Canis lupus familiaris: one gene and its partner. The protein of the gene in region 1 purifies or fractionates together with the protein of each later gene. This does not show direct contact. Links are inferred from orthologs where the notes say so. Each region holds a gene or a part of one and is shown on either strand. Other genes may lie near its edges. The genes, in order: PTPDC1 and PPP2R2D.

Region 1 (3,803 bases):
AAGCGGCCCAATTCCATACAAACTCGAGGACAACTGCTGTGTGTGAGGGAATTTACTCAGTTTCTGATTCCTCTTCGCAATATATTCTCTTGCTGTGACCCCAAAGCACACGCTGTTACTCTAGCGCAGTATCTCATTCGCCAGCGGCATCTGCTTCATGGTTATGAGGCCCGACTTCTGAAACACATTCCCAAAATTATCCACCTCATTTGCAAATTGCTCCTGGACTTAGCCGAGAATAGGCCAGTGGTGACAGAAGAGGTGGCCGAAGTGCCCAGCCTGTCTGCCGAAATTGAAAAGACGGTTTCTGAGATGATCACCCTGCAGCTGGATAAAGAGTTGCTGCAGCAGGGCAGCGACGTGTCAGATTCCTTCCCCCCAACCGCGGTGGCCACAGACTTTGAGAATCAGGATGTGATTCTTTCCAGCGAGCAAGAGATTGACCCTCTTTGGAAGAGGCGGAATGTCGAGTGCCTTCAGCCCCTGACTCACCTGAAAAGGCAATTCAGCTACAGCGACTCAGATTTAAAGCGGGCTGAGTCGCTTCTGGAGCATGGCAGTGCTCCGTGGACAGGACCTGCCCCGGCCTTGCTTGGCCATGACCCCGAGCAGCAGAAGCCCATAAGCCACTGGCACACCCCTCAGTCTCCGCAGCTTGATCCAAGTAAGGAAACGCTGGTCCGAAATACGTTCTCTTTCTGGAATCAGGCTAAATTTGGAGGCCTGGAAGGACTCAAAGATGAGGGGGCACCGGTTTTCCATAAGGAGACTATGGCAAAGGTTCCGCGGAGCAGAACCTTCTCTTCAGGTGTTTCAGGTTCATACAATCCTGGGGAACCAGCTCTACCGGACCGTGCAGATATTGCCAAGGAGCCAGGCTGTTCTCTGCAGCAAGTGCCCCGCTGTCAGTGCAAAACTCCTGCTGGCTGCTGCTCTGACCCTTCCCGCAGCCCTGTGTCTTGTGGCTTCAGCCCCAAAGCACCCTTCTCGGCTGGACACACTCAAGTCCCCAACAGCAAAGATCTGCCCACAGATGCTCCAAACACTGCTTTGCAGTCTGAATTGAGTGTCGAAGCCAGGAGAATACTGGCAGCCAAAGCCCTGGCAAGTTTAAATGAATGTGCAGAAAAGGAGGAGGTGAAAAGGAAGGTAGAAATGTGGCAGGTACTTGTATTTCATTTAATTGTGTTTGTGTGGGAAATACATATGGCAGAGCAAAAATGTAATACATGTTACCAAATTCAAGGGTTACAGGAGTTTGAAGACCTGTTGGTGTAATACCTAACTTTTGAATTTCGGGTTTCTTGATCTCTGTGTGAAAGTGCTCGATGTTTAGCACTTAGCGGGGTCCTTGGAGCAGGGCATTGATACCAATGCCTGTGGCAGCTTTCTACTTTCCCACTGGGTGCATGGACGGACAGACCACAGCACACAGCTTTAGGAACTGATGTGAGCATCTCTAACCTGAGTCTGATAGGGAGCCATGCTTGGAGAACCACTGACCAAGTGAAATCAGAGAAAATTCTTTTCCAAAGCATCAATCCAAGTGTTGAGTGAGGTCAGAACACGTGACGGATGCTGTCAAAGATATTATTTATGTAGAGAGAGTGAGAGGAGTGTGGGGGGAGGGGCAGTGGGAGAGAGAGGAGCACAGAGCCTGACCTGGGGCTCAATCTCATGACACTGAGATCATGACCTGCCCCAAAATGGAGACAGATCCTTTACTTACTGAGCCGCCCATGTGCCTAGTACATTAGTTTTACCTAAGATTGTGTCTTCAGGGCCATTTCTTGGCTTTTGCTTAAATTAGAACGTGAAATTTTATTTTTTTTTAAGATTTTATTTATTCATGAGAGACCCAGAGAGAGAGGCAGAGACACAGGCAGAGGGAGAAGTAGGCTCCATGCAGGGAGCCCGACGTGGGACTCGATCCTGGGTCCCCAGGATCAGGCCCTGGACTGAAGGTGGTGCTAAACCTCTGAGCCACCCGGGCTGCCCAGAACGTGAAATTTTAAATTTTAACCCTTTTTATGGTGTATTTTCATTAGAAACACAGTCTTCAATCGGTTGTGCTCTTTGCCCTGAATGAGCAGCTGGTGTAGACAAAAGGCAGGCCTTAACACCTAGTTACCAGAGACTAGTCAACTGCCCAAATGTGCGGCTGACCTGGGGAGGCCTGGTTCAGTGAAGTCTAGACTTGTTAGCCCATCATCTCCCACAAATTATTTGTGTGGCTGCTCCTCTGTAGTTTACATAAATTAAGCAAGGCCAATACATGTTCCAGGAGGGTCAGAACCTTCCAGATACAGAGGTGGGAATACTAGCCACAGAGCCTTGCACCCAGTCCCAGCTGTGGGGCTGCAGAGCATGTGCATGCTGCAAGTCAGAACTGCAGGTGTTTGCTGAGCCAATGGTTAAATGTAGTGACTTCTTACTCCAAAGTGAACAAGCCTTTGGGTCAGTCAGCCTCGATCTGTGAGGACATGTGGCTGGCCCCCTCCCTCCCAGGTCAGCCTAGCATGGTGGACTGTTGCAGCACTTCACACACAAAAGCATTCCGGGGGTGAACATGACACTTTTGTTTGGATAGGCTTGCCCTTTATTTCACTTTCTGGATTTTGTTATATGCCTTTGAGCAATAAAACATAGCTGAGTTCTGGAAAAAGCCCAGTGAACTGTGATTTGGGCAGCACAGTGCAGCCTGTTCCTGTGCTGGACCCTCTCGCCTGCTACGTTGCAGGGACCCGTAGGGCAGAGGATACCCCAAGATCCTTCGTGAATCTTCACAGTCCACATGAGTTAAGTATCACAGATAGGAAAGCCAAGGGTCGGGGGGTCAAGACACATGCTCAAGGTCACATGGCCCGAATGTGTATGACCCGTGGGGAACAGGGCCTCCACACAACTAAACATAGTGGCTTCTTTATGAAATAATAAAGAGGAACCAGAGGATCCCAGAGCCAAGGACCCTGGCGGGGGCAGGAGTACCACATCTGGACTCATGCACAACCTAGGGAATGAAAGCTGTCTGCCCTGTTGTGCTTTGGGCTCCTGGGTAAGCACCCTCTTCCCTGCACCCACACACCTGCCATCAGGGTCTCACTACAGGTGTTGTAGGAATCGAGTAGGTTATGTGCTACCGGCTGTCCTAAGTCTTGTGAAAATACCAGAGGCATGAATGAACAAATGTGCAAGGATTGCGCTTGCTGCATACGCTGTATTTACTAGCACATACATCTGAGCCCCATCAGAAGTTAAAATTCTTCCTGCTTTTCCCTGGTCTCTTCACAGCAAACTGTTAGGGGCTCCTGTTTAACCCCCAGCACGTGGCATGTGGGCAAGGCCAGCTTGCCCCGCCCCGTCCAGTCTCAGGGTGTGGGGCTGGCTGCATCCAGGCCTGCAGGGGACTCTGAAAAGGTGGGTGAGAGAGCTGTGTCTGCCGCAGCTGCCCGCCATTCAGCAGTTTTCTGGGGCACACTTGGAAGTTTTAGCTTTTCCTCATTCTGGGGTAACCTGAAAATGTTGTCTTATTTGTGCTATGTCATCCACCATTCTATATCATCGCAGTACGTATTTCTGTTTTGTCCCAAGGAACCTAAAAGGAAGGCTCCCTCTTCCTGAGCAGCATCTATGGTTTCAGAGCGGGGCAGAGAGCTGAGCTTTTGGGCCAGCCAGTCCCTCTCTCAGCGGCTTTAGCACACCCACGGGGCTGCGGCCAGCTTCATAGACGGAAACCGAGGCTCGGAGAGACTCAGCATCTCAGCCCTGTGTGGCGGATGGGGGGCGGTGTGTGTCTCAGGGCC
Region 2 (3,903 bases), on another chromosome or scaffold:
GTGTGACACGGTCACGGCCGGATTCACCGTCACTGAACCAGTTATGAGCTCAGGTCCATGAGCCCACGAATAATAGCCCCTCCAGATGCCGCAGAAAAGATATGAACGAAAAGAGGGTGGGTCACAGCTGCACGGAGTCACCGGACGTCCCCCCAGGGCTGTACCTGGGGCTCAAGGCGCCTCTGAACTGACCACTCCGTAGAGCACGTGAGCTCTGGGCGGGGCTGCCCGGTGTGGGGGGGCACGGGATTCCCGGGGTCTCGGCGCTGCAGGATTTACAGTCCCGCCCGCAGCGGGAGCGCCCGGGAGACGCGCCCAGGTGCGGCGGGGGGGCCAGATGCGGCGGGAGCCCAGGTGCGGCGGGGGGGGCCAGGTGTGGCGGGGGCGCCAGGTGCGGCGGGGGCGCCAGATGCGGCGGGGAGCCCAGGTGCGGCGGGGGGGGGCAGGTGCGGCGGGGGCGCCAGGTGCGGCGGGGGACTCAGCTGCGGCAGGGGGTGCCAGGTGCGGCGGGGTGGCCAGGTGCGGCGGGGGCGCCAGGTGCGGCGGGGGACTCAGCTGCGGCGGGGGGGGGCCAGGTGCGGCGGGGTGGCCAGGTGCGGCGGGGGCGCCCAGGTGCGGCGGGGACCGCCAGGTGCGGCGGGGGCGGCCAGGTGAGGCGGGGGCGCCCAGGTGCGGCGGGGGACCCAGGTGCGGCGGGGAGGCCAGATGCGGCGGGGGGGGGCAGGTTCGGCGGGGGGGGGGCCAGGTGCGGCGGGGGCGCCCAGGTCGGCGGGGGTGCCCAGGTGCGGCGGGGGTGCCCAGGTGCGGCGAGGGCGCCCAGGTGCGGCGGGGTGGCCAGGTGCGGCGGGGGCGCCCAGGTGAGGCGGGGGGACCAGATGCGGAGGGGCGGGGCCAGGTGCGGCGGGGTGGCCAGGTGCGGCGGGGGCGCCCAGGCCGGAGCCGACGAGCGCCCGCATTGGCTGCCCTGCCCGTGGACCGCGCTGCCATTGGCCGCGGCCGTCTGGGGGCGGGCCCGGCTCGCGCGGGGGACCGCGGCCGCCTCGAGCCCTCCCGGGACCCGGAGGGAGGCGGGCTGCGAGCCGCAGCTTCGCCGCGGGGGGCCAAGGGCGCGCCCACCCGGGGCCCCGCAGCCGCGCGCCCTGGACGCCCCCTTCCGGCTCGGGCCCGGGGGGCTGGGCTCGGGCCGGGGGGCGGGGCTCGGGCCCGGGGGGCGGGGCCCGGCGGCAGGAGGCTCGCGCAGGCGCGGTCGGCGCTCCCCAGCCCCCGGCAGCCCCCGCGGCCGCGCCCCGCCCCGCCCACGCAGGGGAGCCTCCCGGCGGCCCCGCCCCGTCCGGGCCTGCGGAGGAGGCGGAGGGGGATGACGTCATCGAGCGGGGCGACGGGCATTGGGCGCCATTTTGAAAAGGGAAAAAAAAAATCCCTCCCCGGCAGCCGCGGCGGCGGCGGCGGCGGCGCGGCGGCGGCCGGGCTGAGGTGCTCGGGCGGCAGCAGCGCGGCGGCCGCCTCCTTCGTGCGCCGCCGCCTCGGCGCCCGTCCGTCCGCCCGCCCGCCCGCCGGCCATGGCAGGTGAGGGGCCCGCGCGGGGCGGGGCGGGGCGGGGCGGGGGTCCCGGGCGGGGGCGGCGCGGGGCCCTGACGCGCCCGGTGTGTCCGCAGGAGCCGGAGGCGGCGGCTGCCCCGCGGGCGGCAACGACTTGCAGTGGTGCTTCTCGCAGGTCAAGGGGGCCATCGACGAGGACGTGGCCGAAGGTGAGGCCGCGCACCTGGCGGGGGGGCGGGGCGGGGCGGGGCTCCCGGGGGGCGGGGCGGGGTCACGGCCTCCCGGGGCGGGGTCACGACCTCCCGGGTCCCCCTGCCCGGCGGGCGCGGGGGGGCGCGGGGCTCGGGCCCTGGGCGGGCGGCGGCGCCGCGCTGGTGTTCGGGCGCCAAGGTCACGGGGGTCCTCGGGCGGCTGCGGTCCCGGGGGCGGGGCCCTTGGGCGGGCTCGGGGCGCCGGGCCTGCGGGGGGCGGGGGGCGGGGGGCCGGGCCCGGGACGCAGGGACCGCCCTGCCCGCGCGCACCTGCCGCCGCTCCCGCCTCCCGCCTCCCGCCTGCCCCCTCCCGGGCCGGGCTCTGCGGGCGGACGGCGCCCGGAGCAGGAACAGGCCGGGCTGCACCTCCGGGAGGGCGTAAAGATGTATATACGGTTTGAGCTGGGAAAGTAGGTGGTTTTATGTAACTGGAAAAAAAAAAACTTATACCCATTTTAAGCACATTACTTTTTTGTGTCTTCCCCGTGCCAGAGGGGTGACGCTTCAACTGTAGCTCAACATTGTTTTTTTTTACCAGGAGTAAAGCGACCCTCGTTCGCTCGTTTCCGGCCCAAGGCCCATCTCCGTGGCCGATTTCCCTTTTCCTAAAAAAAACTGGTTGACAAACTGAATGAATCAACAGTGAAATGTAACCGACGTGGCGTGTCTTCCGCGCGATGTTGCACTTTGAAAATGGTCTTAGAAAATCTTCACTGAGCTAAGCCGAGCGGAACTTTGTGCCAATGTTGAACCCGAGCTTCCAGGACAGTCAGGAGTGGCTCTAGAGGTTTGCGGTTGCAGCTTAGCCTCTTACTGTAAGATTTCTTTGTGGCAATTCCGCGGGTGTCCTTTGCTCCATGTGTTCTGAGTTTCCCTTGTCACCCACGTCGGCCTCGGTCATCAGTCAGGGGAACACATCCAGGGCGTCGTTCTGAGAGTCGTGGCGGCGTCTGTTGTATGGTTGCTGCGAAAGTCAGTGTCCACGCAGACAAGGCTGTGGACCGGGAGAGTGAAGGAGCTGGGGCGCACTCAGCAGCGACGGAGAAACGTTGACAGGAGACGAGGAAGGTTGGGTCATTGCAAGGAGGTTGCGGTTGCCCCAATACCTGGCTGCAGGACCCTGTAGTACCCTGTATTTGTTGAGATTCACAGCATGTGCCGTGTTTGTCCTGGCCTGAGCTCTACTCGGAAGAGCCCCTGTTACCCGGCGCTTCCCATGACAACAGCTGGGGCCAGGCTGCATCAGGCAGTTCAGGGCTCAGGGCTGGAGGGGTGCAGTGCACAGAGACATCTCGTCTCCTTGTTGTTTCTGGGGACTCGAATCATAACTCCTGAAGGAAGTATGTACTGTGTACAATTTGATGGCTTTTTTTTTTTTTTTTAAGATTTTACTCATATATTCATGAGAGAGGCAGAGACACAGGCAGAGGGAGAAGCAGGCTCCATGCAGGGAGCCCAACATGGGACTCGATCCCGGGTCTCCAGGATCACGCCCTGGGCCGAAGGTGGCACTAAACCGCTGAGCCACCCCAGGGATCTCCAATTTGATGGCTTTCATTTAAAACAGCAGGGTTTTGCTTCAGCATGGGCCAGGTCAGCAGAGCGCCGTCAGGGATTTCTCACCTGCTGCCAGTAGGAGTAGAGCTGGGCTCAGCGGGAAACTGGTGCTTTTCCTGCTGATGGCAGGATGCGGGAGTGACAGTCACTACTTCCCCTGCAGTTAGCTGCCTGTGTGTGTAGTCATTCCACCCAGCAGGTGGAATAGGTGAGTACAAACCACGGGGAGGCTTCCAAAAGGAAGTGAGAAGAGAAGTGGTTTGTTAGCGTGTGTCTCCGGACCTTGTGCTCTAGGCAGTGAGCGTTGTGCAGAAGCGGTTAGGTGTTTGTGCAGATTTCCAGGTGTGGTACCGGGCCCCAGGCCCTACAACCTTCTTGGGCCACGTCCACTGGACAGACGCCTTTTGCAGATGTCACACTATGCTGCAGTCCTCTGCCAGTCTGTCCCCACGCATACCTTGTAGAGGACCTGGCCAGTGAACATTGAATGCTCCACACACGGCTCCCAGGTACAGCCCCAGGAGTGGGGGGGACTGTTCTTCCCAGTTCTGGAAGC

What was found.
Region 2: the proteins of PTPDC1 (region 1) and PPP2R2D purify together in Homo sapiens (affinity purification with mass spectrometry; 5 studies listed by BioGRID and IntAct, counting the BioPlex papers as one, with this or other methods). This does not show direct contact. The link is inferred for Canis lupus familiaris from reciprocal best matches to the Homo sapiens genes PTPDC1 and PPP2R2D.

Annotation. Positions count from the first base shown.
Region 1 is NC_049222.1:98,671,398-98,675,200, reverse strand, and holds part of PTPDC1 (protein tyrosine phosphatase domain-containing protein 1), read left to right. Parts: coding exon 1-1,164; intron 1,165-3,803. UniProt on the Homo sapiens protein: May play roles in cilia formation and/or maintenance.
Region 2 is NC_049249.1:40,496,614-40,500,516, forward strand, and holds the start of PPP2R2D (serine/threonine-protein phosphatase 2A 55 kDa regulatory subunit B delta isoform), read left to right. Parts: upstream 1-1,531; 5' UTR 1,532-1,559; coding exon 1,560-1,566; intron 1,567-1,655; coding exon 1,656-1,748; intron 1,749-3,903. UniProt on the Homo sapiens protein: Substrate-recognition subunit of protein phosphatase 2A (PP2A) that plays a key role in cell cycle by controlling mitosis entry and exit. Involved in chromosome clustering during late mitosis by mediating dephosphorylation of MKI67.